Linked DNA regions of Oryzias latipes. The protein of the gene in region 1 binds, or shares a complex with, the protein of each later gene. Links are inferred from orthologs where the notes say so. Each region holds a gene or a part of one and is shown in the gene's direction. Other genes may lie near its edges. The genes, in order: bud13, crnkl1, cwc22 and cwc27.

Region 1 (7,922 bases):
GCAGTGCTACTTCAGCTGAACTGAGCAAGCGGAGGGAGGTGCTCGATTTTCCTCTAACGTAAGGTAAGATTGCTGCTTCCAAAGGAAAGAATAATAGCCTTATGGTTATATCCAGATTGCAAGGATTATTCTAAAACATGTGGCCAAATGGAAATAATAAACAGAAGGAATTTTATAACAATAAGGATTGGTCAATACTAAATGAAATGACATATTTAGGTTGTGACTTTAGTCTTTGCCACAGAACCGTGTGAGAGGAGACAAAACAAAATCAAAGTTGAGACAGTCTGAATCTTGTTTTGACATTTGTTTTGGTCACATAAAGATTAAGTTTTAGATTCAGAGCACATTCATGGCAGTTTCACTATTTTTGTTTTGTTTTTTGCTTTATTGGAGCTATAAATTACCCCTTTCTAATCCACCTGTGCAATAAATAGCTTTGTTTCCCATTTACCCACTTCTATTGTGTGCACTCACTTGCTGTGTCACAACAACAGTTTGTTCTTTATGTTGTTTTCTTCTGTTTTCAGTTGAATGGCCCTTTCTCCATCATGATCAAGTCCCTGTTTGTTTATGGAATGGTGGGAGGTAAGAACACAAAGCTGAAGGTGTCTGAAATAAAATCACACATAAAATCAAGCTTGTTTCTGTATAAATGTTCTTTGTTCTTGTCTCTAGCGCTGCTGTTGCTGCCAGTCCAACCAGATCAGATCTCTGTATGTGTTGAAGATGATGAAGACCTGAGAGTAGACTGTATGATCAAGCCAGCTCCTAACAAAATCAACAGCTATGAGTTTTCATGGTCCTCGGGAACCAAGGAGGTTTTAATCAACACCAATGTGTCTGGGTCTAAAGCCGAGGCTCAGTTTAATGATAAAAGCCAAGTGGTGGAACTGGAGCCTCACGGCTACAGGATGACCCTGTCTGACTTCAAAGACAAGCTCCCACCCAACACCACCTACATGTGCAAAATATATGGGGAAATGAAACAAATCACAGTGGAGAAAGGTGGGTGGACTGAAGAGCTGAAGGGAATGAGTGTTAACCAAAAGCTGGCAGAATTTTTCGATAGATTTTTGGTGTGCTTCAATAATTTCCCTCTTTACAGATTCCCTGGTGCCATGCTCAGCAGTGAGCGTGTTTCTGCAGAGATCCTGGTTCTTGATTGGCTGCCTGGTCTTTTTCCTTCATCACAATGACAGCTGATGGCACTGAGAAGAGAACAGTCAGGCTTTTGCAGATACTCACTAAGCTAAGCACTTTCGCTTCTGTCACAGAATAGATCTCTCTTCCTTCTGTAAAAAACACTGGTAAATGTTTCCACTGTAGACGATTTAAATGTTTAGGAGCTGAGAGCTGTGAGTACTGAATGTAAATTAACCATTAGTAGAAATGAAAGTGCAGCTTTTTCGTCGAGGGAGACAGTCTAATGGCAGACTAAGAGATGCAGTTGCTGACTTATTAATGAGGTATTATTGATTTTATGTTTTCTTTTCTTTTACATTAAAAAGCACTAATAGTTTTTGTGGCCTTTTCCTCACTGCAAAAGCAGCAAATTGATTGTGTTCTTGTTTGCTTGTTAATAAAAGAAGAGCTCTGTGAATTTGCTTGTAATCATTTCATTTATGATTGAACAAATATAATTGTTTTGTGTGTTTGTTTGTTTTTGTTGTTTTTTTTAAATCATAAATCAAAGAACACTGTTGACAGATAAATACCAGTATTTGGAAATGTCACATTTTCTCAATGGAGCCTAAATGCATTGTCATTCATGGAAATCATACTAGACCAGCAGCTGGTTATTACTGTCTTAGATAAACAATAACCCATGACATTTAATCTGTCTCTACATATTGGACATGACATGTAACAGGGACAATATTTAGGTCTTTTTGTCTCTGTTATAAAAAGCAAGTAGTGACGGCCTATATTTTTGAAAAAGTTTTAGTGTAAAAAAAATGATCGACAAATAAAAAAATAAGAACAAGAATTGAAATCGTATGCAAAGAAGAGTAAAGACTTTTACAATTCAAAAACATTGCTCTCCTGTCTTTCTAGGCATCGGTGTATGACCGACTAAATTTGTGGGTCAATTAGGGAAATCAGGCAATTTTAGCCTTTTTGGTGACAGTCATTATTTGTATGCCAGTCACTGGGTCCCACCACAGACACAGTCTTGCAGCAGATTGTGGCCCAGTAGTTATCATTTTTAACTTCTTTGGAGTCAACTTTATCTTCAATGTATTTATTTATGCATAACAGTAACTTTTTTGTTATAATAATAATAATAATAATAATAATAATAATAATAATAATAATAATAATAATAATAACAATAATAACAATAATAATAATAATAATAATAATAATAATAATAATAATAATAATAATAATAATAATAATAATAATACAGAAACGCGTCTTCTTCCTCGTCGTCTACATTGACCCTTGACGCGACCCGTAGTTTCCCACAATACAAAGATGGCAGCGGTCGGTGGTGGAACCGGACCCGAGCTTTCTAAAGCTGAGTACTTAAAGCGGTATTTATCAGCTGACGACAACCATGGTGCATCTAAAGGAAAAGGCAAGAAGAAACGAAAAAAGCTTCCTGAAACAAGGTGAGTACCGAAATACTGCGCCGTTTGGCTTTCTGTTAGCATCCAAGCTAGTTTCCTTATGCTAAGCTATTTTTGATTTGGAACTTTGTTTCTATGAGTTTAATCGTTTTTATTTTGTGTTACTTCGTTGTTTTTATCTAGACTTAAAATAGTAGACGATGATATTGATTGGAGACAAATGGTCCAACAGCAGCCGGATGTCGAAGAGGATGAAGAGGAAGCTCCGGTGGTGAGTTAGCTAGCAGCCTTGCGTTAGCATTTCCCCCGCAGTACGGTCTACTATGTTTAACTTTTACACGCATGAAAGTCTGATGGCGATATTTGATTTGATGATAATAAAATGTATGTCTTTCTTTTTTGTTAACATTATTGAAATGTAAATCCAGACGTAACACAGGAATTTCATCTGACGTGAGATTGAATTGATCTGCTTTAATGCAGGATAATCGATGCAAGATAGATTTGACACATTGGTTTGAATGAAATATGTGGGAAACTTGCATTGTGTGTGAAGCAGTCAACACAGATGTTTGAACAGAGTAAATAATGATTTGATTTGGTCTATGTTATGTACATTAAAGTTTTAAAGCCAAGGAAACCTAAATTTTGTACTTTGATTTACCTTCTCAGATTGCAGAGTTCATCGATGAGCGGCCAGAAGAGGTGAAACAGATGGAGGCCTTTAGGACCAGTAACAGATGGAAAATAGTTGGGGGTAACTATAAAAGCAGTATATAAATTTGGCTTCTTTTAAATTATGTTGTTTTTCATATTAACTGTGTTGTTCTGTAGCGGATGAAGACGAAGACAAAACAATTGACGAAGAAAATGAGCAGGAGGAGCCTTTAACATCTAAAAAAAGTCGGCATGACTCACCAGAGCTGTCATCGAAAAGTGGGAGACATGGTTCCCCTTTCAAAAAACCAAGACACGACTCTCCAGACATTTCTCCTCCTAGGAGAGGACGCCATGACTCTCCGGATAAATCCCCTCCCAGGAGAGGACGCCATGACTCTCCGGATAAATCCCCTCCCAGGAGAGGACGCCATGACTCTCCGGATAAATCTCCTCCTAGGAGAGGACGCCATGACTCTCCGGATAAATCTCCTCCTAGCAGAGGACGCCATGACTCTCCCAGCAAGTCTCCTTCAAGGCAACATTTAAGGAAGTCTGGGAAAGTTAAAAGTAAAGGTGAGTTTTATTTTACAGTTAAGATTTTCTTTCTTGCTTTTATACAGAACAATGCTCATTTTGCACAAGTCACTGAAAAAGCTGAAAACGGCATACCAATGCCATTTAAGCATTGAATAAGCTTAAAGCTGGAACCTCTTAGATTTTTGGGTTATAGTAGTTACTAAAAATATCAATAGTTATATTGACACAATAAAATGTTTATGTAAAACACATTTATTTTTTTCTATTTCATATTAGGATTACTAGTTTTGCTCTCTGCACTCTAATATATATAGTGCAAACATTCTCTTTGATTCTCAGAGTCTTCTCCCACTAGAAGGAAGCCCAGCTCATCGTTACACGGTAAACCAAGGTCGCCAGATGATCGGCGGTCTCCTTTAGCTCATAAGACTAAGGTTAGGCTGGATTCAGACTCCGATCAATCTCCTCCACGGAAAAAGCAATCGAAGCGAGAAGCTTCCGACTCTGACCAGTCTCCCCCTCGGAGACGCTCCAGAACAAGGCAGAGATCCGATTCCGACCAGTCTCCACCAAGAAAGCACTCGAGGAGTGGAAAGGACTCGGATGGAGATCTGTCACCACCACGGAGACCTGGCCAGTCTCATGTGAGGGATCTGCGCTGTTCAGGGATTCGTGTGAAACCTAATTTGCAGCACAAACCCCATCTAATATTTTTGTGTGTTTTTCAGGACCACAGGATGCTTTCCGGAGGAAAGGCTGGTTTGGTATCTGTGGAGATTCTAAGGGAAGAGCAAAAGGAAAACCGACGCAGAGAAAAAAAGAATCAACCTCTTGAAGGTTGGCCTTGCTTTTGTTTTTCAGTTTTACTTTTAAAAAAAAAGAGAGTTTGAAACAACCCTTTTCTTATCGTATAACTTTAGACTTTCTATATTTCTGAAGTACCGGTATATGAAAGTGTTTTTATACTATTTATACTATTTACGCATCAGATGAATCTCGTAATGCGGAGACGGTCTTCCGAGACAAAAGTGGCAAAAGGAGGGATTTGACCTCAGAAAGGGAGGAGCAGAAGAGAAAAGCAGGAGAAAAGGCTGCAAAAGATGAAAAATATGCCCAGTGGGGTAAAGGGTAAATCCACAAAACCATACCAAGTCACTGAAAATGCTACTTCCACCACATGTAAGAAGACAAGTTATTGTTTGTGTTTAGGCTGGCTCAGAATCAGATGGAGCAGCAGAAGCTGGAGGACGCCCTGCTGGAAGCCCAGAAGCCCTTGGCCCGTCACCGTGACGACGAAGATCTGGACCGCATGTTGAGGGAGCAGGAGAGGGACGGGGATCCCATGGCTGCCATGCTTCGGCGGAAAAAGGAAAAAAGCTCAAAAACACAAGGTTTGAAACATTCTACAAGTTTTTGTACTTTTTTTTTTTTTTTTACTCTTCTGATGGAAAAATTTGGGCATTAGTACTTCAAGTACAGCAAATATCTCAGTTGCAGTTTTACATGATTCATTTAAAATTTTCTTACTGTTTCCAGACAAACCTCGCTACAATGGACCTACGCCACCCCCAAACCGTTTCAACATTCCTCCCGGTTACCGTTGGGATGGAGTGGACAGGTACAGTTGAAGAAAAACCTCATGGGATGCTGCTTGTCAACTTTTCAGCTCTTCTGCAATGTTTTAGTTTTGCAGTTGTGATGATCACAGTTTTAGGTATTTTCACTATGTAGCAGTGGTCCCCAGTTCCCGAGACGCGGACTGTATCCATTCATGGGGTCACTTAGTACCAGGCTGCAGACAAAAAAATTACATATAGTAACTTAGATTATTTCCTTTTTTTATTTTTTATTCTGAAAGTAGTTTTATTTTGGAAAACTACTTGATTCAATTTGCCACATGTGTCTATACTCTTGTTCACTCGCGCATCGAAAATACATCCACTACCTTCTTAAAGCGGCTTCTCCGACCTCTTAATAAAAAGGTAACTAAGTTAATAAGAAAAAACATCTTTGGAAAGTTTTTTTGTGGGAGAGAAAGAAGCCATTGAGAAAATGAAGGAAGAGTTTTTGACTTCAAAGTAAAATCAATTATTTACAGATAAAACCAGGAGTCTTCCTCCAAATATGGATTCATTGCGATAGTTGTTCCCACCTACAAAGCCCACTTTGCATAATATGCGTTGACTGACTCTAAAGTTACACATACGCTGTTAAAAAAGTTGCAAACACAATGGATTCACATTTTGCATTTTGCGTGTAGAAAATGCCAGTTTCATGACAGTTGTGTCATTTCATTTAGTGTTTTTTGTTTGGCACACCTTGAAGATGCGGCTGACGTTGGCACTCAGATGTTAGCCTCCATTTTGGAGTTTAAGTGAAAATTTACATCACATTTTAATGGATCCTGAACAAAGTCTAAGTTTAAACCAGCTGCAAATATTTTACAGAGAATAAGGATTCAATACAATAACATTTGAGAATGTTTCTACAGCAGGTTTTACAAATTAGGTAGCCACCTGGTAAGAACAGAAAATACTCTTCTGTGTTTATGATTAATTTTTTTTGCCCTGAAAGATAATCTGAGCCTGAATTATTATTTTTTCTGCGTTATAACGAAATTAAAATCTGTAATGTTGCCTTTAATGAATTTTTACAAATCAGAAACAACTTCAACAAATCAACAACTTTGTCATTGAACTTTCTTAATTTGTAAAACATTTATTTACTGGCAGTTTCAAAGTCTTTAAAAAAAAATCATGATTTAGCATTTGAATTTAAAAAATACATTTTTTAGAAACCAGACGCTAAAAAAATTCAACCTCTTCGGACTCTGGTCCATATAAACATTTTCTGACATAAAAAAATTCTTTATTCTCTTTGATCGTATCAGCTTGGAAGTCATGTCAGCCCAAAGTTCAAGTAACTTTGAAAGAATTCAGTCTCTCTGGTCTCCCATAGCTAACTCCATGACTTAGGGGGTGGGGGGCCTGGTCGTCGCTGCTACTTGTCTGTCTGCCGTGGTTAGGGGTCGGAGCCTTCCGGTGCCCAGTGGGGGGCGGAGGGGACTCCGTTAGCCGGGGGGTCGGGTCCGGTGCCTGGGTGGGGCGGGCCGGGGTAAACATTTGATTCTTGCACATTCTGCTTTTTATTCCATTTATTTGTTTGTATTGTCTGCCCACTTTAAATAGAACTATTCTAAATTTCAATATAACGTAAAATATATTAAATGAAAATAAAGGCATTCTATTCTATACCTGTTGGGGACCACTGCTATATAACATCATTTGTGTGCCCTGACAGATTGCAGATGGATGTTTTTGTTTTTTTCAAAACAGCAGATGTAATGGAAGGATTTTTTTTTGTGTGTTGCAGGTCGAATGGGTTTGAAAAGAAGCGCTACATGCGTTTGGCGGATAAGAAAGCCATGCAGGAGGCAGCTTATAAATGGAGCGTGGAGGACATGTAAAGGCACTAGACCATCGTGTAGATGGAACTGCAAACGGACACATCTCAACAAAAAAATGACCCAAATGTTCCACCTCATCTTTCCAAATCTGTTTCATTACAGAAAACTGTACACAGAAGTAATGGATCATAGTGGCTTTATTTTAATTAATGTACAAAAAAAGAAAAATACTTTTGTGTCTGTTTTAATAAACTCGATTTTTTTGTAAATGTTCCTTCAAGAGTGTTTATTCTCCCTCTGAGGTTTGGATGTTAAAGGACTAGTTCTGCCAGTTATTCGTGCTGTGCTTCAGGCTAGTTATGGTGTTATGGAGGCTTTGTTTTTGCATATTTAAAGGACCTCCTGATCTGACGATGAGACACCAAAGCCTAAAATCATAAACTGATGTAATATCACAGATCAGAACAAGTTTTAATTGTGTGGCAGATCAAAGATAAACTCATCTTTTTCAGTGGACTGCATAACTGCCAGATGTTTGAAACCTTCACAGCAGTTAAAGAATTTGGAGGCTGGTAATTCCTTAGAAATAAATTTCAAATACGGTATATTAAATTCTATACAATTAGCCAAACCACTGCCTTGATTTTTGACAATGGATTACTTTATTGGTGTTAGCCATTTAAAAAAAGAACAAACTTCTGTGAAAAGAATTGACTCCAAATGAGCTAATCCACGTGTTCAGC
Region 2 (6,504 bases), on another chromosome or scaffold:
TGCATGCCTTTGCTGTCCACTTTCTCTCACCACTGCCTTACCTGCTGTCAGGGCGCGCTCCATTTACGAACGAGCGCTGGATGTCGATCACCGCAACATCACGCTGTGGCTAAAGTATGCAGAGATGGAGATGAAAAACCGCCAGGTGAATCACGCCCGCAACATCTGGGACAGAGCCATCACCATCCTTCCTCGAGTCAACCAGTTTTGGTATGATTTTTTAATTCCCTTCACTTCTTTTGTCCAGTTTGTGCATTATTTTAAAGAAGTATTCTTCTGTTGAACAGGTACAAGTACACATACATGGAGGAGATGTTGGGTAACGTTGCCGGCTGCAGGCAGGCGTTTGAGCGCTGGATGGAGTGGGAGCCTGATGAACAGGCCTGGCACTCTTACATCAATTTTGAACTTCGCTACAAGGAGGTGGACAAAGCCCGCACCATTTATGAGCGATATATCCTTTTACATCATTTATTTGACCATTTTGACCTCACAGAAACTGCTTTTCTTCCTGCAACCCAAATTTATTTAGAGGAACGTTAGTAAACTGAGCAGTAGAAAAAAATTAAAGTAATAACTTTAGCCAACATATTGAACTTCTGCTGACATCTGTTTGTGTTACTAGGTAATTTATAGTTTTTTTTCTTCTATAACCACACATTTTCCAGACAAGATGAGGCCTTTTCAGACATTGACTTACAATCAGAATACCAAGGCCATTTAATTACTAGCAACCTTTTTAGGATGAACAGAAACATGGGTAATCTTGCTGGAAACATAACATTTCTTGACTCCTCGCACTTGTGATGGTTCACCCTGAAGTGAAGAACTGGATCAAGTATGCCCGCTTTGAAGAGAAACATGGCTACATTGCTCATAGCAGGAAGGTGTACGAAAGAGCAGCGGAGTTCTATGGAGAGGATCACGTCAACGAAAACCTCTTTGTGGCTTTTGCCAAATTTGAGGAGATGCAGAAGGAGGTACAAGAAAAATTTATTGTATTTCCATGTGCAATCATGGCTTCTAATAACACAGAGTTTCTTTTTCTATGCAGTTCGAGCGGGTTCGAGTCATTTATAAGTATGCGTTGGACAAGATTCCGAAAAATCAAGCGCAGGAACTCTTCAAAAACTACACCATGTTTGAGAAGAAGTTTGGAGACCGCAGGGGGATTGAGGATGTGATCATCAACAAACGAAGATTTCAGTATGAAGAGGAGGTCAAGGTAAAAATGTCAAATGGAAGCTGGGTAAAACCCAACAACAAGCAGAACATGGAGTTTGACAAGACAACAAATTTAGGCTCATTTGGATGACATTTAAAAAAAAAAACCTAAATGTGAAGATTTCTGTCAGATAAATTAATGATGCAACATGAGTTGTGGCTCAAAAAAGTGTTAGTTTGTGAAGAGCTCAACTTCTAATTAACTGAATGTTAATTATTAAGCATTTTGTAGATCGTTGTTGTATCTTTTTTGTGTTTTAATTACTGCATGAAACAAAGAAATCTGAATCTTAGTTCATCTAAGAATCTATTAATTCTCCCAGATCAGATTTACATGATAAATTCTGAAAATGACCCATCTTAATCTGTGGTAGAAATAAAACTAAAACCTGATTTTGATCTAAAAGATGCAGTCGGGTGTTAGCTTGCTGTACAGCATTGCATACCAACTACTGATCTTAGAGAGGAAAGGGTTCTTGCCTTCAAACACAAGGATTCTCATGATTCGTATCTTCTTCAGGCAAACCCACTCAACTATGATGCCTGGTTTGATTACCTGCGCCTGGTGGAGAGCGATGGAGACCCTGACACGGTCAGAGATGTTTATGAGAGAGCCATCGCCAACATCCCTCCCATTCAAGAGAAAAGGCACTGGAGGCGATACATCTACCTCTGGATCAACTATGCTCTGTACGAAGAACTAGAAGTCAAGGTTGGTTCTTCATTCACCTCATGTCTACTTTCCAAAGCACATGGGAAAGGAACTGCATGCTCACCTCTGCTCACTTGGAGAATCTTAAAACAAATGAAAGTGAAAAATACTGACTCCTCTGCATCAGAGCAATCAAAAACAAGAAGTTTTACCCTTTTTTTAAATCACCTGACAGGATCCAGAGAGAACTAGGCAGGTTTACCAGGCCTGTCTGGATCTTATGCCTCACAAAAAGGTATTCTTTAGAATACTTGTCATTTCTTAAAAAAAAGGTCGGTTTGCTGACATAACCTTACAGTGACGCCTGCTTTGTTTTTTTTTTTGTAGTTCACGTTTGCCAAGATCTGGCTTCTCTTCGCCCAGTTTGAGATCAGACAGAAGAATCTGCAGGCAGCTAGAAAGATTATGGTAAGATGGTGAAAACTCGGCCGTATAAAAATGTATGCACGCGTGTATTTAGAGATATTCCTAAACCAGTGTTGGTTGATGATAAGGAACTTTTTGTATATTTCTTTGTAAGTTATATGATTTTTATTTTAGCATGTCTTTGCACTACAGCTGTGAAATTTATTCAAAACAAGGGACTCCCTAAGGAGACAAACACACAATTTAAAGTTGAACTTTGATACATAAACTAATCTAGTTCAACTTACAAAAATAGGTGTTTGGTATCCATTTTAACTAGTACGACAAAAACTGGTCCACCACCTTCCTCTGTCCTCTCAGGGCACAGCCATTGGTAAATGCCCCAAGAACAAACTGCTGAAGGGCTACATTGAACTGGAGCTGCAGCTGCGAGAATTTGACCGCTGCAGGAAACTCTACGAGAAGTACCTGGAGTTTAGTCCGGAAAACTGCACCACGTGGATCAAGTTTGCAGAGCTGGAGACAATCCTGGGAGACGTGGAAAGATCCCGAGCGATCTTTGAGCTCGCGATTGGACAGCCACGACTGGACATGCCAGAGGTAGGAGTTACAGCTACTGAAATGCTAAATAATTAGAATTTTTTAATACTCTCCTCATTTTTTATCTCATTTGTTCTTACTTTACCTAAATACATCCTTTGTTTTTTAAACCTTGCTTTAGGTTCTGTGGAAATCTTACATAGACTTTGAAATAGAGCAGGAAGAGTTTGAAAACACAAGAAACCTTTACAAACGGTTGCTGCAGAGAACTCAACATGTCAAGGTGAGTAAACTGCTTATATGTTTGAAAAGAATTCTCATTTTAGTTGTGATTTAATGCAATTATAGTTATTATTTTTGAAAATCTAATTTTAAACTTTTATATCATTGGAAAAAAAAACAAATTAATGTGCCAACATTAAGCTTAAGTCTTAGTTTGTATCTTTAACTTGACAGATAGTAGAATATCAAATGTTGTTTCTAACCAAAGTTGAACTCTTCTGTTTTCCCATCTCTCCCACTGTCCTTGTGTGATCTGAGAAACTACCTTTTTCCATCAAACAAAAAAAGCCTAAATTGAATGTTTTTCACCCAGTCAAGTGACTTATACCATTGTCTTTCTCAGGTTTGGATTAGCTATGCCAAATTCGAGCTGTCAGTCGATGGACCTGACCGGCTGGCGAAGTGTCGGCAGATCTTCGAGGAAGCCAACAAGAGCATGAGGAACTGTGAGGAGAAAGAAGAGAGGCTGATGCTGCTGGAGTCCTGGAGAGACTATGAGAAGGAGTTTGGCTCAGACAGCAGCAGAGAACGAGTTAGTAAGCTGCTGCCCGAGAAGGTCAAGAAGAGGAGGAAGCTGACCGCTGAAGATGGGGTAAGCAAGGAGACGAAATTCTTTTTCATCAAAAGGGAAAATGTGACTGTTGCTCCAGAAGAGCGACAAGATTCGCTGTGTGACCGTGAAAATTTCACCTTTTTCTTGTTAATTGTTTAACTTTAAACCACATCAGATCCTAATAAAATTAGCTACTCAACAAATATTAGACGTAAATGCAAACAAAAGAAATGTTTTTCATCCCATTTTCCTGATTCCATCAGTCGGATGCAGGCTGGGAAGAATACTACGATTACATCTTCCCAGAGGATGCTGCCAACCAGCCCAACCTTAAGCTGCTCGCGATGGCCAAGATGTGGAAGAGGCAGCAGATAAACACCGACGAGCCTCAAGAAAAAGGTCGGAGTGTTGAAGAGGCAACATCAGTGGAGGCTGAGGAGACGGGCCTCGCCGACAAGCAGGCAGAGGAGGAGCCTGCCAGAAACATGACTGAATCCGAGCAGGAGAAAACGTATGATGACCGAGACGACGAGGACAGCAGCAGCAGCAGTGATAGTGATGAAGATGAGGAAGCAAAGAAGAAGCAGAGCAAAAGCCCTCAGGAGGACAAAGATTAGATTCAGTCAAAGCAGGCAGGGATTTTCTACATTTTTTTAAAAAACTCAGCTCACGAGCCATCTTTATTGCAACTTTTCTCTGTGTCGTTACACCGCTTAGACTCATTTGTGTGTTTTCTCAACTGACTTTCTTTCAAATTTATAAGAAATAAAAACTAAAAACTGCAACGTTTTGTACATTCAGTGGCTCTCCGACTTTGAAGCAGAAAAAAAAGGCGCTTGTGTGTCATTTTCACTATTTACATGGTCACTGAACTACAGCTGAAATCACAACACAGCAGAATAAAGACGGCAGATCCGAGTCAGAGAGCCACACTCTGATGTTATTCAATATCCTCCGGTCTGACCGGGTGTGGCAGCGGGATGATCGACTTCTTCTCTGTGTCTCTGGACAGAGCTTTCCTCATATCTGCAAAAAGAATCATCAGTTTGATTATTTTAAATCATTCTTTCCAGTAAAAAGTATATATATATATTTTTTTTTTTTCCAACACTAGGGAAAAATGAATTTACGTGTATTTTTTTTGCATTTTATTTGGCTGTAAATCAGAAAAACTTTTCATTTTACAGCTAAATCCATTTAATTTGTTAAAAAAATTCCTTTGATAGTTTACTTTAAAAAAAAAGAAGTAAAATTGACCTGTTAAGACTACACATTTGTTAAATGTCAATTTTCAAGTGTTCGTGACTACATAACAGTCTTCAGATAATTATTTCAATAACTTATTCATACTAAGGGCATTAAATGCATTTATCAAACCCCAAATACTGATCATAAATAAATGGTTTCTTTTTTAAAGGATTCAAAAAATTAAGCTTTTCAATATTTCTAAATAATGTATTAATGTCTAAATTAAAATGAAAGGTTAATTTCCACTAACAGGGATTGCTGTTTCTCATGTATGTAGTAAAATAAATTCAGCTCTAAGTGTTACCGTAAGCATCTTCATCGGGCTCCCCGTTGCTGGCAGAGTAATACTCGATGACTGTCCTGTACACGCTGTAACCCAGACGTCTGTACATGTTTACAGCAACCTGGTTGGACACTCGCACAAACAGATCCACAAAGAATCCTCCCTTCCTTTAAAATGACAAAAGGAGAATGGTCAATACAATGATCAAAATCAGATAGCTTTCCAGATACAAACCTCTCTGAGATTTCCTCCAACATTTCCATGAGCTTGGCGGCCAGCCCGAGCCTTCTGAACTCCGGAGCCACAGACAGAGCGGTGACGTGACCGTGCCACTCCTCGCGAGCAACAGATCCCTCTGCCTTCCCCATTACTGCAAAAAACAGGTCCAATGGGAGATGTGATGCTTCAAACTGTCAAAACTACTAAAGGGCAACTTGTATACATCAAACTCGGTATTTAGAAACGGATTTTTCCTTTTTTATATTTGAATAAAAAAGCGAAAACAACTCTGTGGCTCATCAAATTTTCAATAACCATAAGGAATATTGTAAGGAAACATGGAAAACTCACTGTAGCCCATCAGTTCCCCACCAGGAGCCTCAGCAACAATAAAGTACTCTGGCCAGTGAGCCAGGTACTGCAGGTAAAATGGGATCCCATACTGGAGGTCAAGGGTCAAGAAAACTCGTTTTTTATAAGCACACACTATAGTGTTGTATATTTCAAATAATACTACACAAATAGTTAAGGAATCATTCCTTGAGAAATGTATTATTAATGTTATAAAATGTTATTAAAATATTTAATACAAGACTTAAAAGTTAAGAAAATAAAAACCATAATCTCAAGAGGACAGATAACAAGATGTAAACTTTTTGCATATTTCCTTATATATTTACACTTGAAATTTATTATTGTATAATATATAATGATATACCTTCTTAACCAACGATGAATTGAAAGCTCATCGAAAAGGATACAGTCTCAGTTAAAGGATCCAAATTTCTGTTCAACAAAACAAGAGCAACGCTGTTTACTTTAAAGCACAGAACAATTCTCGCAAGATTTTTGTACAATATGTCAGGGGTGAAAAAAAAAAAGCTATTTATGTAGAACTTGTTTTAAAAATCCGGGGTAAAAATATCCTTAATGCATAGTGTTATATGTTAGCCGTCGACACAGCACAACTCAGCCGGCTCGAGTCGAAGCAAAAAGAAGCTAATATTTTTCTTCCAAATGTTTATTTTTCAGCCACAAACTCTCGTGAGATTCCTTGCCTTTAAATTAATCCAGCAT
Region 3 (7,897 bases), on another chromosome or scaffold:
TTTTTCATTCCATGATATTATCAAAACACAGAAAACAAAAATAAAAAGATAATACACGCTAGCCAATCATGATTTTTTTTAAAGTTATTTAATAAACATTAAAAACAAATCCACATATAGGTTGTATTTCTTTTGCTACAAAATCCTCATTTTAGTAGCATGGTGAAAAAAATTAGATTAAAAACCAAAAAGAGATTTAGAGCAGTAGAGGGGCTTTTTTATTACCCTTTTGCTTGTTTGCATGGCTTTTGCTGGGCATTGAATATGTTCCGTCTGCCTTTTAAAGATTTTTCCTATGCAAACTATCTAATTTCTAAATCTTCTATCTTCTAAGCACATTTCACAGTGAATCTAATATGTTATAATACACATCAGAGGTATAATGAAAAATCATCATCATCATCTTCATCATCGTGAGCCTGACCTTTCAACTTTAGCTTGACACTTTAACATATCAGGTAACCTGGGGGGGGGGGGGGGGGGGGAGCTGATGCCACCTTCAGTTTAATAGAAATCAGAAATAATTTTTAGCATGAATACCAAATGTTGCTAATTGAAACTAATTGTAAACCTGAATCAAAATCACTACTTTCATTCAATTAAAGGAAATAACTGTTTTTTAGTTTTTTATGACGATTAAACAATGAAAGTAAAAGTTTTGTAACTGCTGGAAGGTGTTTATTGTTCTGTTTCAAAACTGTTTCCTGTTTTTTATTGTGCAAAGACAGTAAGCAGCAGCCTTTGCTGTGTGGGTGCAGCAGTCTGAACCAGTCACCATGAAAAAGTTGTGTGATGTCTTAAAGCGCAGAAGCTCGGAGGTTAGAGGTTCCAGTAAGTTGTCACGGCAACAGTGATGAGGATGATGATACGATCGGAGGGAGGAGCGACAAACCTGTGTTCAATAATGTGAATTAATTTAGGTAAAGAGGCTGTTAGCTCAGTGATGATTATGTACTATGGGATTCACTCCTTTTTCTGGTCGAGCTACATTTTTAAGTCAGAAAATGAAATGCACATTTCTTTAATCTCTGTTATACATCATAATACTGTGTGAATGTTTTTTCCATACCATGCTGTTATTTTTTGAATGTATGCAGAGAGAAAACCATTTACTGGGGGAGAGAAATGTCAGCCTTTCCAAGGCACTCAGGCATCAAAACACGTTTTATGATGCTAATGTGAAAACATTTCACAGACTCTTTTATTAGAACTTAACTTTTTTTGGGAGATAACCGCTGTGTGCTGCACATGGCATGGAACGTTTGAACTATAAATCTATACTCTAAGGCTGGCTCATCAGTAATAACTAAATCTTACAGACATTGTGGTTCTCCAACATTCACCACTGGTGTAGAAAGGATCTAGATGTCTAAATATTCTCCTTCAGTCAATGTGAAAACCATTAAATAGCCTTGATCTCTGATTCTCCTCCGTGTTTTAACTTTTCCTAACTCCAGTTCTGCTGGTCCGATCCACTTTCTCTGATGAGGACTCATGTTTTACACGACACATTGGTTATTTGGTGATTATTAATTTCTTCAGTTGTTTAGCTGATGATAATTTGTATTCTGTATGGATGTGTTGTAAGTGGGGTATATAGGGAGGAGACGATCTGTAGAGAAAAGAATAATAAAAATGTATTTATTTTCTGTACAAATGTGTTTGTGTGGTTATATAAAGATAAAGCTGAAGAAGCTATGTAGATGACCCGTGAAGTCCAGTCAAACATAACATTTTATTTCGTTTTCCAAGTATAACGAAAACTGATGGGAGACTTGAATCTTTTTTTTAAAATTAAATTCCAGACTGAAATGATTGTTTTGTTCTCAATTACATTTAAACTGCAATAATAAATGAAGCTTTGATTCTGCTCTACAGGCAATAAAACCTGCCAGACCAGAACAAACCACTATCTGACTTCATAGAAGGATGAGTGGATGGAAGTGATTAAATGGCATTTCGGAGGGATTGATCCAAAGTCTCAAAACTCATCTTTCGTTAGTCAGAACTGACGAAGCTTTTTAAAAGGGGAATAAAAGGTTTTATGAAAGACGAGGGCAATTGCATTTGATTCTCTTTGATATTAGTTGAAGACAACTACATGATATTAGAGGAAACAGGAGTGTGGTCAAGAGGTGAAGTCACCTTTCAAATTTGATTGTCTATACCTAGAGAAAATCCTACATCCATTTTCTTAACCAGCTTAATCCCATTTGGGATCACAGGGCTGCTGGAGCCTATCCCAGCTGTTGTTGGGCAAGGATCAGGTACAGCTAGTATAGGTTGCAGGGCTAGGCAACAACACACTCACACCTGGAGAGAAATTAGAATGAGCAACTAACCTACAATGCATTTAAATATGCAGAGGGAGGAATGAAAGACGAGAGAACATGCTAACTCCAAAGGACCCAGCCATGATTCAAAGCAGGCATTTTTCACTGTGAAGAGAGAGGGCATACCACTACACCACCATGCAGCCCTCTGACCATCGTATATGGGGAAAATATATAACAGCTTTTATTCAGTTTGTCATTAACAATCACTAAAAAAAACAGGAGAAAGTGTTCATAAAGTATTGTATAAATATCATACCTAATCAATGCCTGAAGTTTGGTGAGTTTATATTCTGCAACAAATCTTACACCACAATTTCCCTTTAGAATGTGCAGCCAAAATGAAAAGTAATGCTTTTATACAAAGATGATAAATTAATTTGGTTTTAATTTCAAAAGGTTCTAGTTCAGTGTCATCACTGAAAACAAGGTGAGCATCTTTACTACAAATTTTGACCGCTTTATTAGTAAGGTTTGCTGAGCTGTGGTCACCCCTGGCTGCAAGGTGGGCAAAATATCAATGCCAACGACTCTAAGAATACAACCAAAATGTACTTATTTTTCCTAAAAGCTAATGACCACCTCTTGATTTATGTTTTGAAGTTATTTCATTCAGTTCTTTGTACAGAAATGGGAGCTACCGGCAATTTTTTGTTAACATTTGTTCATTTTTGCAAGGTTAGGTCTTAAAGCACTGTTGTCCATTTGTTTTTGTTTTTTCAGTGAGTTTTTTCTCACAAACCTCAGAACAACACTTTCATAAAAACTACTAATCATCAATGTAAAAAATCTTCATCTTTGGAGGATTCAGCATTCACGTCCATTCCAAAGTGTCAATTCAAAGTGTCTGTGTTGTTTGGGTCTGCGATCTGTGGAGGATTTTAAAATATATCTATTTTGTATCATAAAATATAATACATTCTTCACGTCGAAAATTAGGTTTTTATCAGTAGTGCAATATAATTATGGTCTCTGGGCAAAGTCGTTTGGATTCTGTTTTTACTTTTATTTTGAAAGTACAGAGGAGAGTGTGTTAACTTGTGTTTTCTCCCTTCGGCCGAAGTTTGACAAAGCGACACGAAAACACAGGGAGAATTGAACTCCAATCTAATTTAAGCGTTAAATTGAGTCGTTAGTTGAACGTACAAATTACGTCAGTAGTATGACATGTCAAACTTATTAAACAAATCCATTCCCTCGGTTACTCTGCTGTTCCACACAGCAAGAAAACTTTTATTGTGAAATCCGGATGCGCGTTGTGAACCGGAACTACATTTTAAGTTTTTCCGCCTTAACAGGACAGTAAAGAGACATTTCGAAATATAGTCGACAAAGGGAATTTGAAGGCTACTAAACGGCAAGTAACGGAATATAGTTTTAATTCAAAGACTATGAATGAACGATTTTCTAGTTTTACTAACAGACTAGCTAAAAATTAGTCGTGTATCTTTTTGGCGTTTATGTAGCATTAGCAGTTAGCCGAGTAGCTCATCCAGATTCACATGGTTGCCGTCAGTCTCTGGTGTAAAAATTAGTTTGTTTATAACATTGTTAAACAAATCTTTTATTTTCGACTAGTGTTGATATTTATTAGCTTAATATTTGACTTGTGATTAGTTGTAGGTATTTTGTTTCTCAGTGTTCCTGGAGCTACCTGTTGTTAGCTCAGTGGATAATAAAATGACACAATTATACCTAAAAAAATAGATAGCAACTAGGGATCGCTGATTATTTTATTCTTTCCATGGATCTGAAAGACCTTACCACTTCAGAAACTGTTTATTACTACATTTAAAAAAAACATGATTGGTGTGGTTCCAAAATAACTGGTTTGCCATCTAAGTTCTTCAAATGTATGGCTGCCCTTAAGTTAAACTGGAGATTCCACATAAAACAAACAAGTCCGAGTATAAGGCGTCTCAAACTTTGAGCCAGGGTGACACTTTAGTTCGATTCCTACTGCTTGAAAGTAAGAATAAGGACATTAGTGCACTTGAAGTTTTACCAAAATAAGAAAAATAAATTGGCTCTTTTCTTAATCCAGTATTCATGGGCAACCAACCCATGTGTACCTTATTCTCATTCTTTTAAACTTTTTCCGTACTAAATGAATTAAACTGGATTGTAAAATCAAGTCAACATTTATTATTATTATTATTATTATTATTATTATTATTAATGTCACTTATAGTCTTGCTCTGCTCATACCCAATATTACTGTACATTTAGAATTCACCTGATGTTCTGGTTACTGATTAGATTTCCAAAGAGGTTTTTATTTATTTATTCGTTTGCTTTTTTACTTTATTGGCCTTCTTAAGAACCATCCCCACCACCACCACCCCAAAAAAGTCATCCCTCATAATTGTTTATTGATCACAAAAGACTGTTGCATTGATGGGAGATAGATAGTCAAATATAAAAATGTTGTGATTTTTTTCTTCTTCTTTTTAAATGCTTTTAAGTTGTGTTGTGAAAGAAGATTTTATGTTTTCCGTTCACTATACAGGAGATTGACTATTTTTCTGCCTCCTTTTCTTTTAGTGATGGACTCTTCAGATAAAAGCCAAAGTCCCACTCCTCAAAATGAACCACCTAGAGGTGAGTAAAACACTGCCAGAACAATAGTGTAGTAATCAAATGTCGGCATCAGTTGATTTGATATCAAATTGTTATTTGGGTCTGTTCTGGATGTACAGCAGGTGACGAATCCAATCCAGCTGATGGGAGACTCCAACAAGTTAGTGCAGAGGAGGAAAGCACCAAAGAGCAGCAGTCTCCACAAAGAAAGTCTCCAATGTCCAGGAACTCATCCAAGAGCCCCAACTCTAGCAGCTCAGACAGCAGCAGCAGTGAAGATGAACATCATGGTGCACTAAGGAAGATACGGAGTAGTGTTGCTGAAATCAAAGTGAGTTATTTCATATACGTACTGTTTTACAATCAACTTCCAAAAATTTGAATATCATAACAATAGTATGTTCATTTCCATAATTGCATTAAAAAATACACTTTAATAGAATCTAATCTCATGTCCCTTTGTTTAATTAATTTCGCGTATTTATTTGATTTTTTTATTTATTTATTTATTTTGCATAAATTAGGATTCCAGCTTATGAAACCCACAAAAAACAGGATTTCAAAAAAAATTGGAATACTATGGAAATATTTTCCTAAATTTAGCTAGCATGAATGTTTTAAATTGGGTTTCATCAACTAATCACCTACTAAAATCAAGGTTCAATATGGGGAAGACTTTAGACTTCACAACTGGCCAGAAGACCGTCATTGATCCCTCCATAGTCTGGGTAATCAGTCACCAACGTTCCTAGCTAAGGAAGCTGGCTGTTCACAGCTGTCCAAGCAGATCACTGGAAAGTTCAATGGAAGGGTAAAATGTGGCAAGAGAAGATGCAGGAGCAAAAGAGACAACCGTGGGCTTCAGCGGATTATCAAAAGATTAAAGAAGCTCCAGAAATCCAGAAAGAGTGGAATGGGGGGGAGGAACAGCTTTAAGAACCACTACACTCAGACGCATGTGGGAGATGGGCTACAACTGTCGGGTTCCTCGGGTTAAACCACTTCTGAGCCTGGACAAACGGAGGAAACATTTCAATGGGGCCAAAATGAAGAAGGACTGGACTGTTGGCCAGCGGTCCACGGTCCTGTTTTGTTATGAGAGATAAGTGTGCCGTTTATTTGGACTGGTGAGGAGCAGAACCCAAACTGCTAGGGGTCCAGTGTGAAATCTCCACAGTCAGTCCTGATTTGGGCTGCAATTTCCAGCACTGGTGTTGGAAAACTCTGATTTCCGTCTAGCAGAATGTTCTAGAGCAGCGGTCCCCAAACCCCCGGGTCGCGGACTGGTACCGGTCCGTGAGTCATTTGTTAACGGGCCGTGGAGGAAGAAAAAAAAAAGAAGCTTGCATTACTTCCGTTTTATTTATTTCCGAATCTGAAAGATGTTTTATATTGAAAAATTGCCCGATTATCTGTTTTATCCGTTTATGTCACTCTTGATGCAGGCCGAGGCGCTCTTCTCGATCATGTGATAGGTTACAGCTAAAATAAAACCCAGGATCTAGCAAAATGAGTAAAAACAAACGTCTGTGGAAAGTTTCTTTGCCAAGGGGAAAACACCCAGCCTGGGAACAGAAGAGGAGCCTTCCACTTCCAAAAAAAGAAGGCTACATTTAGTAGACAGTACTTCTTTTTTTTTTGCACCATGAATGTGGGAAGGGGAGAGGATGATGACACCTGTACGATGTCATGCGTGTAAAAATAAAAGCTCAGGCTTCGTCTTGCCATGACTCTGGTACTTGTTTATCATGGCATAGCGACCATAATCATCTGTCTACAAGTTTCAAGACGGGTCCTAGGAACCTTTCTGTGACGTCATACCGGTCCGTGGCATTAAAAACGTTGGGGACCACTGTTCTAGAAGACTTCATGATTCCTCCTGCTGAGGATCTGGATGGAGACGCAGATTTCATCTTCCAGCAGGACTTAGACCCCGCCCATATCGCTACAAGCTCCAAAGCCTGGTTTGATGCTCGTCTGGCCTGCCAACTCGATAAACCTAAAGGCCATTGAAAATGTATGGGGTCAAACAAAAAAAGAGCTGACGGCAGCATCAAGAAAATCTGGGCTCCCATAACGCCACAAGCTGATTGCATCAATGTCACAGTGCATCAAGGCAGTTGTTAAGGCTAAGGGATTCCCAACCTAGCAATGAAGATCGACATATCATTTTGAAAATACATTATTTTAATGGATTTCATGTGATCATGACCTCCGTCTTTATCTTCTTGCAAAAGGGGAGATTTCCCCACAGTACCGTATTCAGATTTTCTGAAATCTTGTTTTTGTGGGTTTTATGAGCTGGAACTCCAATTAATCCCCAAACAAATACACTTGAAATCAATTAAATGGTGGGCCCCAAACCTTTACACTATAAAAGTTCAATTTTTTGAAATGAATTATGGAAATTAATACTCTTTTCCATGTAGAAAGTGTCTGTTTTGAATATACTATTTAAGACTCCTTAAAGGAGAAAAAAAGAAGAAAAAACTTCAACTTTTAATGATAATTTTCCACTTGTCTTTCTTAGTTTAAAAAAAGAGTCAACATAAATAAACTATTGAAATTAACTTCTCTGTTTAAATATATTACATTGTGCTGTTAATCCTAAAGACTTGGAAAATCATGTTTTATCTGTCTGGCTTTTCAAAATCAGATGCATCTGGAATTTAAATGTGTGAAGTCTGTCATTAACTTTTTTATTTTGTAAAGGTTTCTTCTTGAATGTCTGAGTGTCCTTATTATATACTTGTCTTAATTCATTTCAAAGCTTTTTTTCTTTTTCTAATGATCAAAATGTCCTCTTTTTTTCTGATGTCACACTATTATCAGTTTAAAGAGTACACTGTGCCCCAGAAAAGCTTTATGTACTGTAGACATTTGCACATCCACTATTTTTACATTGTTGATTTAAAGTCTTCAGGTTTCATGAATGAAAACTGACCACCATTTAGTTTAAACAAACTCGCAGAGAAAGCTGCCAA
Region 4 (7,875 bases), on another chromosome or scaffold:
GTATTTATTTATTCAAATTGTTGTGAATCAGGAGCAGACGAAAAAATGCAGTTGGAAAAAGATCGTATTTGTGACGTAGAAATCTCGCTGGGGGGGCCACCAGCTCCCTGCTGAGCTCTCGGGAAAGGGGTGGGGAAGAGAAACGGTCCCGCCCACAACTCAGAGGTGAACTTCTAAGAAATGACGGCCGCTCTGCAGAAACTATGTCCTAGAAAATGTCACAGGTTTACTTAAAGACCACTGGGAAAGCTTTAAGAATAGATCCAAAGATGAATGGAGTGAACCTCCACAGCGTAAACTTTTCCTTGGTCTAAAGCAAATGTTCTCATTTGATTTATTTCAATCATATTTATGCTTTTTTTCTGCCAATTATCAAACAAAAATACAATTCTTTAAATGCTTCAACATCACCCCAGCAATTAAAATGAAACCAGCCTAATATGCAACAGTTTCTCAAACTCTGAGGCCGTCCATGCTCTCCCGACGTACCTGTTGGTCTCCACATTGATGACTTTGATGCCGAGCATGGTCCCGTACAGAACGAAGTGGCCGGTCTCGTCAAAGATGATGTTTGCCAGCCGGACTCCGTCCACCTTCTCCAGCTCTCTCTCCACGGCCATCCGCCTCCCAAACTCCATGTCAGGCAGCTGCTGCCGCATTTGCTGCAACTCTGTGAACATCTAACATGTGACGCAGGAGCGATGAGCGACGACCAACACCACACCGAGGAGGAGGAGGAGGAGGAGGAGGAGGATGAAGGCCAACGTACCGTTAAGGACTCGTCGAACACTCTTGCCAGTTTTCCTGTTAGGAAACGGAAGATCCTCACTTTCCTGTCTGAGGCGATGGTGGCCATTCTTTTGCCATCAGGTGAGAAGGCCAAGCTGGTGGGATAGGTCTTGTTTTTTGCAAATTCATACAAGTCAGTGTCAGTTTTGTACTCCCACTGCACGTGCTTGGGAAACTTGAACTCGTTGGGAAGGCCTGTCCAGTATTCCAGCATTCCCGCTTTGTCGGCAGACACGATAACTCGGAATTTAGGATTCAAGCGGATTTGAGTCAGCGGGGAGGAGTGCAGTTTGTCAAAGACGTGAAGGGGCTCGCTGCTTCCCCGCCCATCGTACACAAAGATCTTCCCTGTGGATTTTTCAGAACACGCCACGGTGCAGATGGCGTCCCCGGGGTTGTAGATCCACTCACTCTGTCCGGGGTGAAAGCTGCAAACAAACCCTGCATCAGTGTCTGCCGCATCATTCAGGCTCCACTGCACCGTCATTGGAACTCACCCCAGCTTCAGCATGTTGATCATGTCAAAGTTGACCACATCGAAGACTTTCATGGCCCGATCGTCCCCAACAGAGCAGAAGAGAGCCCCTTCGGCACTGACGGCGATGCTCTCGATCACACCTGCACAAACACAGCTTCACGTTGAGAAGAAAGCCACATTCGTGCGCCTGCAAGATCGAAACGAGGGCGAAAACGAAGGTCTTACCCAAGTGGCTTCTGAAGTGTTTCACAAACTCTATACCCTCATCCTCCTTCTTTTTCCAAAACTTGACGTGGCCGTCTTGGCTGGCAGTTAGGACAAAGTCTGTTCTGGAACAGAAAAGGGACAGCGTGAAAAAGAGAGGAGTGTCAGATAAACGGCACAATTCCTCTAAAGAACATTTTGCCAGAGAGCACAAATTCTAAGTATTTTTACTATTAACTTTACTATAAGGTACATAGAAACACAAAAACTGCACACTCTTTTGCTTCTTTGACACCTGAAGCTGCATAACAGTTCTGATCGACTTGTCTTTCATTTCCATAGTTGCATGATCAGCTGAATGAAGTTACATTTCCACCACTTAGTTAGACTTACTTGGAACAAACTATATGCGTAATAATGTCTCTGTGCATGTAGCTCCGTTCATACATGGCAGCTGAGGGCAGGTTGTCCAGGTAAACACGCTCGTATTCGAGTACTGACACCAAACACACAAAAACAGGCAGAAAAGAGCGGGGGTTAGCGCGGATTAGCACGACTTCTAACAGATGTTTGTCACAGACCAGGGTAAAGCCGCCACCAGAAACCAACCTTTCCGTTTTTTAGTCGTCGTGGCTTCATTCGGCATGGGTCCGACCCATTCGGAATCTTGTTGTTCTTCATCTCCGTCCCGGTTATCTTCAGCCTTTCGCTTCAAATCCACACTGTTTTCAGATTCCGCCATCGTTGCTTCTCTTCTGGTTTGTCCTGTCGTGATTACGGCACTTCCGCTTGACTTCTAAATTCGTTAACCCTTCCAATCGAAGTAAATGCATACATATATAGTAAGTAAAAAATAAGATTAAATTAAATGCATATGCAAACACCTTTTACATTAATATTAGATTTTTTTTCAAACTTAAATAGAGTTTCCACTGAGCGCGATCATGTTTCCGCGGGGCAGTTATCAAAGAACACATGGATCAAACCAATGCAATTGAAGAGGGGAAATAGTTGGAAAAACGTAATTCGTTTGTTTTGTTGTTATAGTTTATTTTTATTTGCATGCTTTAAAATGCGGCGTTTTCTAAAGAAATACCCTTTTATCAAATTCAATTATATATTAAGTGCAAAACGTTTCAATAAGATTATATGTCTACCTTCTGACGTCCCTGTGCACTCGGAAGTAAACAACCCGCGAACAGATGCAGCTAAGATGGCTTTGGAAGTGAAACGATCAAATTAATCTCATGTAAGAAAAACAGTTGTAAGAATCATTCTTTACCATTCGCTTTGTTTTCAGTTAACTAAAAGTACTTTAAACGTATAAATTAGTTAGAAGTCGGGGGGCAAAATGAGCAACATTTACATTCAGGAACCTCCGACGAATGGAAAGGTGAGCGTTCAGTTTCTTTCGCTCCAGAAAAGCCCAACTTTCATGTGGTTTTACCTCTGAAATGTACAACAATTGTCTCCATTAGCTAATAATTAGATGTATTTATTGTTAACTGAAGATTGTATGTTGGAAAATGTTCTTCCAGGTTCTGTTGAAAACATCAGCAGGAGAAATTGACATTGAGCTGTGGTCCAAAGAGGCTCCCAAAGCCTCCAGGAACTTTGTGCAGCTCTGCATGGAAGGTAGGATCTGTCAAAAAGAACCAAAAATCGAGAGTTAAATCTGCCTTTTTGTTTTGTTTTCTTTCTTGGGAAAAGTGATCCAATCTGTGCTGTTTGGGTCTCTATTTCTAACCCTATAGGTTACTACGATGGCACCATTTTCCACAGAGTGGTCCAGGACTTCATCATTCAGGGTGGGGATCCTACAGGAACAGGAACCGGGGGAGAGTCCGTGTACGGCCGTCCGTTCAAGGTCCGACAGTTTCGCTGCTCGCTTCAGAAAAACGTGTGTTTAAGCCTAAGCGAAAACCCTAAACTTCACCTTTCAGGACGAGTTTCACTCAAGACTGCGCTTCATTCGGAGAGGCCTGGTTGCTATGGCGAACGCTGGGCCACACGATAATGGGAGTCAGTTTTTTTTCACGTTGGCGCGTGCGGATGAACTCAACAATAAACACACCATATTTGGAAAGGTGAGCATAACTTCAGTCCATTGTATGGTGGATGTTTTAAGAGCTGCTTATGTTAAAAAAAAGCCTTATTTTCCTTTTGTTTTACTGCAGGTCACTGGAGATACGGTCTATAACTTGCTCAGATTGGCTCAGGTTGAATGCGACAAAGATGAACGACCTCTGAGGCCTCATAAGATCAGATGTGCTGAGGTGATTCGTTTATTCACACCAATCAGAGCAGCTCCTGTATCTAAAAAGTCGTTTTTTTTCCCTTGTGATAATGTTGTGTGCGTCTTCCAGGTTCTGCACAATCCCTTTGATGACATTGTTCCTCGAGAAACGAAGAAAAGCAAAAAGGATAAAGACAAGGAAGAGGCAAAGAAATCCCAGTCAAAAGCCACGAAGTGAGCATTCACTCTTTCTTCTTCCCTGTTTATGCTAAAAAATACAACTATCAGACTTTTATTGTGAATGTTTTTCTCACCTGCAAAATGTAGTTTTCTTGGTTTTAAGTCCATGTGGCCTCGTATTTGAATTCCTCTTACAATCTTGTTGTTTTCTGTGATTGTAGTGGTTTTTGTTTGTTGTTGTGATTTGGATTAATGCTCCAAAAAAACTTTTCCAGGAACTTCAGTTTGTTATCGTTTGGTGAGGAAGCTGAGGAAGACGAGGAGATGGCGAATCAAGTCAGTCAGGTATGTTTCTGCTCTCCACAGCAAACTTTGTGCTGCCTAAAGCCTTAGTCCCAACTAAGAACACACGAATTATCAAGTGAGTGTACTTGTTGATGCATACGGGCATGCGACAGGTTGTAGTTAACACTTCAAATGTATGGGTGTTGTTTAGAGGAAAAGTCACGTGACCCATACAGCCACTGTGTCTGCGTGTCACAGAGAAGCCAAACAAGGAAGCGTATCGTTGCCAGATTCTTCGGTTTTCCACCCAGTTGGGTAATTTTGGAAAATTTGCTTTGGCGGGTTTCGTGTCAACTTGGCAGGGTTCAGTTAGTTTTATTATGAGTCTAAGCTATCTTTTATTTTGAAAAATTAACCTGATCTTTTCTGTTACATTTCAGTCACTTGGGTGTTAAATCAGTTCCGCTGCGATTTTAACAGAGTAGGAAAAAAACAGCTTTTCATGCACCCAAACTTCCAGCTGTTGAACGATTCTCGCCCACCCTGTTTTCCCCGCCCACCTGTGTATGACGTTTTATTTTACTGAATCTTTCCGAAAGGTGTTGAATGTGGTGTTTTTAATTAGGTTTTTGGAATCATTTAACAATTTTATCAAGGATTTAGGCTTTTTCTCCCCCCATTCCTCTCAGTTGGTCCAGCAGAATACAATTCCACTGCATTCTGTCTCTTATTTGACATGAATCATTTTATGTTTTGGAGGTTGTTCAGCAGAACTGTCAAACTTAAAAGCATCTCCCCAATGCTGGATCTTATAGAGCGCGAGACATGGGAATGAGGAACTACGGTAACAAATATTCTGTTTAGTTGATTTAATCAGTAAATCTGTGAACTTTCTTAACTGTGTTGCCTGCAATGATGTTTCTGGTCCAGCAGGAGTCAGTATTGAGTGAAACAGTATCATCAACACAGAATCCATACAGTTTGGCTGATGTGTCAACGCTTCACGAGGCCTCATTTACCCATCACTACTGCAGACTGCGTAAGGAGGCTGTAGGTTCAGCGCACGTGAAACGTGCGCGCTCCTTGCGAAGCCGCCTTACGGTCAGAAATGAGGAAAGTAGACAATCAGAGGGTTGTTAGTTTGGACATCCTACAGACACGTATGACATCTCATGCATGCAGCATTCGCGTGCGGTCAGTAAGCGGCCAGTACTCCCCCCCCCCCCCCAACACACACTCACCCGGTGACAATATATAGGTTAGTATCTATAAAAATTGTGTAAGTACACCTAAAATTGTATCTTTTAACATTAATAAAAGAAAAAAGCAATATAAATCCACTTTCAACAAATATTAACTTTATTTAACCACAGAAACCCTGTTATGGTCTAAAACAGAGAAGTAGCTTTAAGTGTCTGAAATTATTCCTTAGTTAAACTAGAAACATTTTGACCAACTGAACCATTTGATGCTGAGAAAAATAATTCAGTCACTAAATGATATTAAATGTAAATTGATTTGAAACATTAACACAGCTGCACCAATTTATTTAACGTTTTTAGTCTGAAGAAATAGATAAAAAAAATTGTGCTGATTTTATTTTTCTAAATGATGGATTGTTTATTTAAGATATCAAGAAGTGCAGCTGTTTTCCTGCATTACCTGCTGTCTTTATGTCAAATACTGACACCAACTAAACCACAGGCAGACAAAGAATACATTGATGGAAAATAAAGACACGTAACAAATATGTCTACAATAGCTCATAAAGAAAGACATTATTAGCATGAGCTGAGTCATCTAAAGGCATGTGATGATCCTGGTGTTGCGTAACCATGCAGCGCTCCGCGTGCACGTTCCACCTGGCAGCCTGAGCCCACTACCCCTCCCCTCTCCTTCTCACACACGCGTGTGACAGGAGACGGGGGCAGCTGCAGGGACGGCAGTTCACAGGTTTCTGTTACAAACTCTGAGATTTAAATAAATATTCAACCGGTTTTTAGTACTTAATTCTTATCTTTTTGGTTTGGCTCGCTTTTATCACAAAAAAATGACTACCGTAATTTCTGGATTATAAGCCGCTACTTCTATCACACGCTTCCAACCCTGCGGCTTCTTCAATGATGCGGCTAATTTATGCATTTTTTCTAACGGCCGCTAAGGGCGCTCGAGCAGAAAGGGTAAGAGTGAGACAGGGGGAATACAGTATATGTGAATGCTTTGTGAATGGATAGCACGAACAGACCCTCATCATGGAAAATGCAAGAAGAAATGCATATGACGCAGCTTTCAAGTTAAAAGCAGTCGTTAAAAAAATCCACCATCACCAACGGGTTTGGAAAAGCCGGTCTGCTGCTGACGGAGAGGACAGCGCACGCTCAGGAGGGAATTTACCTCAGAGTGACACTGACGGAGTGTGGCAAAGAATATCTGACGCTATTCCAATCCAACACTGAGGAGGAAGACTTCCATGGTTTTAGTGCACAGAGGCGCTGCTCTCAGTGACTTTTACCTGTATGTTTTTTTAACCAGCCCTGTCAGTGCTGTTTCTACCATATTGCTGCCGTGTTACTGCAGGCACTGATTGGAAGAGAGCTGTGGCGGACCTCGAGTGCAGCGGCAAAGGAAAGCGATATATACACCGATAGTCATGATGGATTAAATAAAGCATCAGTTCAGAGAAAAAATTCACCTCTTACCGTTTGTTTTTGTCCACATGATGAAGCTAAGGTTTGTTTTAAAGAAGCCAGTGCAGTGATACAGAACATTTAAGCTATAGGCGTGCATTATCACTGTGATAAATCACTTTTTAATTCACGCTCAGCAGAAAATCAGAATCGAGTACAGTGATCCCTCGCTATAACGCGTTTTACTTTTCACGGTTTCGCTACTTCACGGATTTGCATCGTGCATTGTGTTCTGCATTCTGATTGGCTAAAAAGTCACTCCGCTTCTTCTCTACCTGGGCGTCAATAACGTTGCAGTTTAATACACATAGGTAAATCAGCTTGCCAAATTTACAACACGTACGTGCAAATTATCTTGCAATTTTGAGTTTCTCTAAAACCCATAGAAAAAGAGCGACAACTGCCAATCACTATGTTCTTCTCCCGATCAAACACAGCTGCACCGCGGGCTTCAAAAGAAGAAAACACTGCAGAGCGGAGTCAGGATGCAGCGACTCAGTCTGAAGAGCAGTGAAATACACCTGAGTCACTATTTGTCCCACTGTACTTTGTATTTTTTTCATAATCATTTTAAAATTTCTCCTGTTTAATCCAATCCTTTGGGTCGCGGTGGGCGGGGCTAATCTCCGCGATTTGAAGCCTTCTGTTCACATCGATGATTAAAATTATTATTTGACAGTACAGTACAGAAGTTATTTGTTGAAAAAAACTTTCTAAAGTACTTTTATTTAATGCTAGAGCCTGTAAAATGGTTTGTTCTTTCTTTTCAATGTATAATAGAGGATTTAATTGTATAATAATTGTTAAAAGAAAAAAGGTTTCTACTTCACGGATTTTGCCTAAGACAGGTTCTTTTTGGAACGTAACCCCCGCGTAAAACAAGGGTTTACTGTATTCACCCGGACCATGGTATAAAAATTGTTTCACTCACTTTAAATACCGAATTTAGGTTTTTCAGTCACTTTCTTTGGAACAGGTGTATGAAACCATGAAAAGGTCTAAGTGTCATCTGCATA

What was found.
Region 2: bud13 (region 1) and crnkl1 share a complex: the UniProt entries of both Homo sapiens proteins name them as parts of the minor spliceosome. The link is inferred for Oryzias latipes from reciprocal best matches to the Homo sapiens genes BUD13 and CRNKL1.
Region 3: bud13 (region 1) and cwc22 share a complex: the UniProt entries of both Homo sapiens proteins name them as parts of the minor spliceosome. The link is inferred for Oryzias latipes from reciprocal best matches to the Homo sapiens genes BUD13 and CWC22.
Region 4: bud13 (region 1) and cwc27 share a complex: the UniProt entries of both Homo sapiens proteins name them as parts of the activated spliceosome. The link is inferred for Oryzias latipes from reciprocal best matches to the Homo sapiens genes BUD13 and CWC27.

Annotation. Positions count from the first base shown.
Region 1 is NC_019872.2:13,067,369-13,075,290, reverse strand, and holds bud13 (BUD13 homolog), read left to right. Parts: upstream 1-2,452; 5' UTR 2,453-2,481; coding exon 2,482-2,618; intron 2,619-2,759; coding exon 2,760-2,847; intron 2,848-3,248; coding exon 3,249-3,333; intron 3,334-3,410; coding exon 3,411-3,809; intron 3,810-4,112; coding exon 4,113-4,417; intron 4,418-4,501; coding exon 4,502-4,610; intron 4,611-4,762; coding exon 4,763-4,901; intron 4,902-4,982; coding exon 4,983-5,164; intron 5,165-5,309; coding exon 5,310-5,391; intron 5,392-7,145; coding exon 7,146-7,239; 3' UTR 7,240-7,448; downstream 7,449-7,922. Other genes in the region: uncharacterized protein LOC101171185, read left to right, coding at 552-588, 679-1,008, 1,109-1,206. UniProt on the Homo sapiens protein: Involved in pre-mRNA splicing as component of the activated spliceosome. As a component of the minor spliceosome, involved in the splicing of U12-type introns in pre-mRNAs.
Region 2 is NC_019882.2:16,311,923-16,318,426, forward strand, and holds the end of crnkl1 (crooked neck-like protein 1), read left to right. Parts: intron 1-51; coding exon 52-210; intron 211-287; coding exon 288-454; intron 455-801; coding exon 802-980; intron 981-1,054; coding exon 1,055-1,225; intron 1,226-1,744; coding exon 1,745-1,936; intron 1,937-2,111; coding exon 2,112-2,171; intron 2,172-2,263; coding exon 2,264-2,344; intron 2,345-2,662; coding exon 2,663-2,902; intron 2,903-3,023; coding exon 3,024-3,125; intron 3,126-3,467; coding exon 3,468-3,716; intron 3,717-3,940; coding exon 3,941-4,294; 3' UTR 4,295-4,462; downstream 4,463-6,504. Other genes in the region: naa20 (N-alpha-acetyltransferase 20), read right to left, coding at 4,618-4,703, 5,230-5,375, 5,443-5,578, 5,779-5,869, 6,189-6,213. UniProt on the Homo sapiens protein: Involved in pre-mRNA splicing process. As a component of the minor spliceosome, involved in the splicing of U12-type introns in pre-mRNAs.
Region 3 is NC_019879.2:6,702,352-6,710,248, reverse strand, and holds the start of cwc22 (pre-mRNA-splicing factor CWC22 homolog), read left to right. Parts: upstream 1-3,569; 5' UTR 3,570-3,690; intron 3,691-4,877; 5' UTR 4,878-4,879; coding exon 4,880-4,934; intron 4,935-5,032; coding exon 5,033-5,244; intron 5,245-7,897. UniProt on the Homo sapiens protein: Required for pre-mRNA splicing as component of the spliceosome. As a component of the minor spliceosome, involved in the splicing of U12-type introns in pre-mRNAs. Promotes exon-junction complex (EJC) assembly.
Region 4 is NC_019870.2:3,042,954-3,050,828, reverse strand, and holds the start of cwc27 (peptidyl-prolyl cis-trans isomerase CWC27 homolog), read left to right. Parts: upstream 1-2,467; 5' UTR 2,468-2,822; coding exon 2,823-2,864; intron 2,865-3,009; coding exon 3,010-3,106; intron 3,107-3,225; coding exon 3,226-3,338; intron 3,339-3,414; coding exon 3,415-3,558; intron 3,559-3,648; coding exon 3,649-3,747; intron 3,748-3,837; coding exon 3,838-3,941; intron 3,942-4,162; coding exon 4,163-4,232; intron 4,233-7,875. Other genes in the region: ppwd1 (peptidylprolyl isomerase domain and WD repeat-containing protein 1), read right to left, coding at 490-680, 770-1,217, 1,287-1,407, 1,493-1,596, 1,865-1,967, 2,081-2,213. UniProt on the Homo sapiens protein: As part of the spliceosome, plays a role in pre-mRNA splicing. Probable inactive PPIase with no peptidyl-prolyl cis-trans isomerase activity. As a component of the minor spliceosome, involved in the splicing of U12-type introns in pre-mRNAs.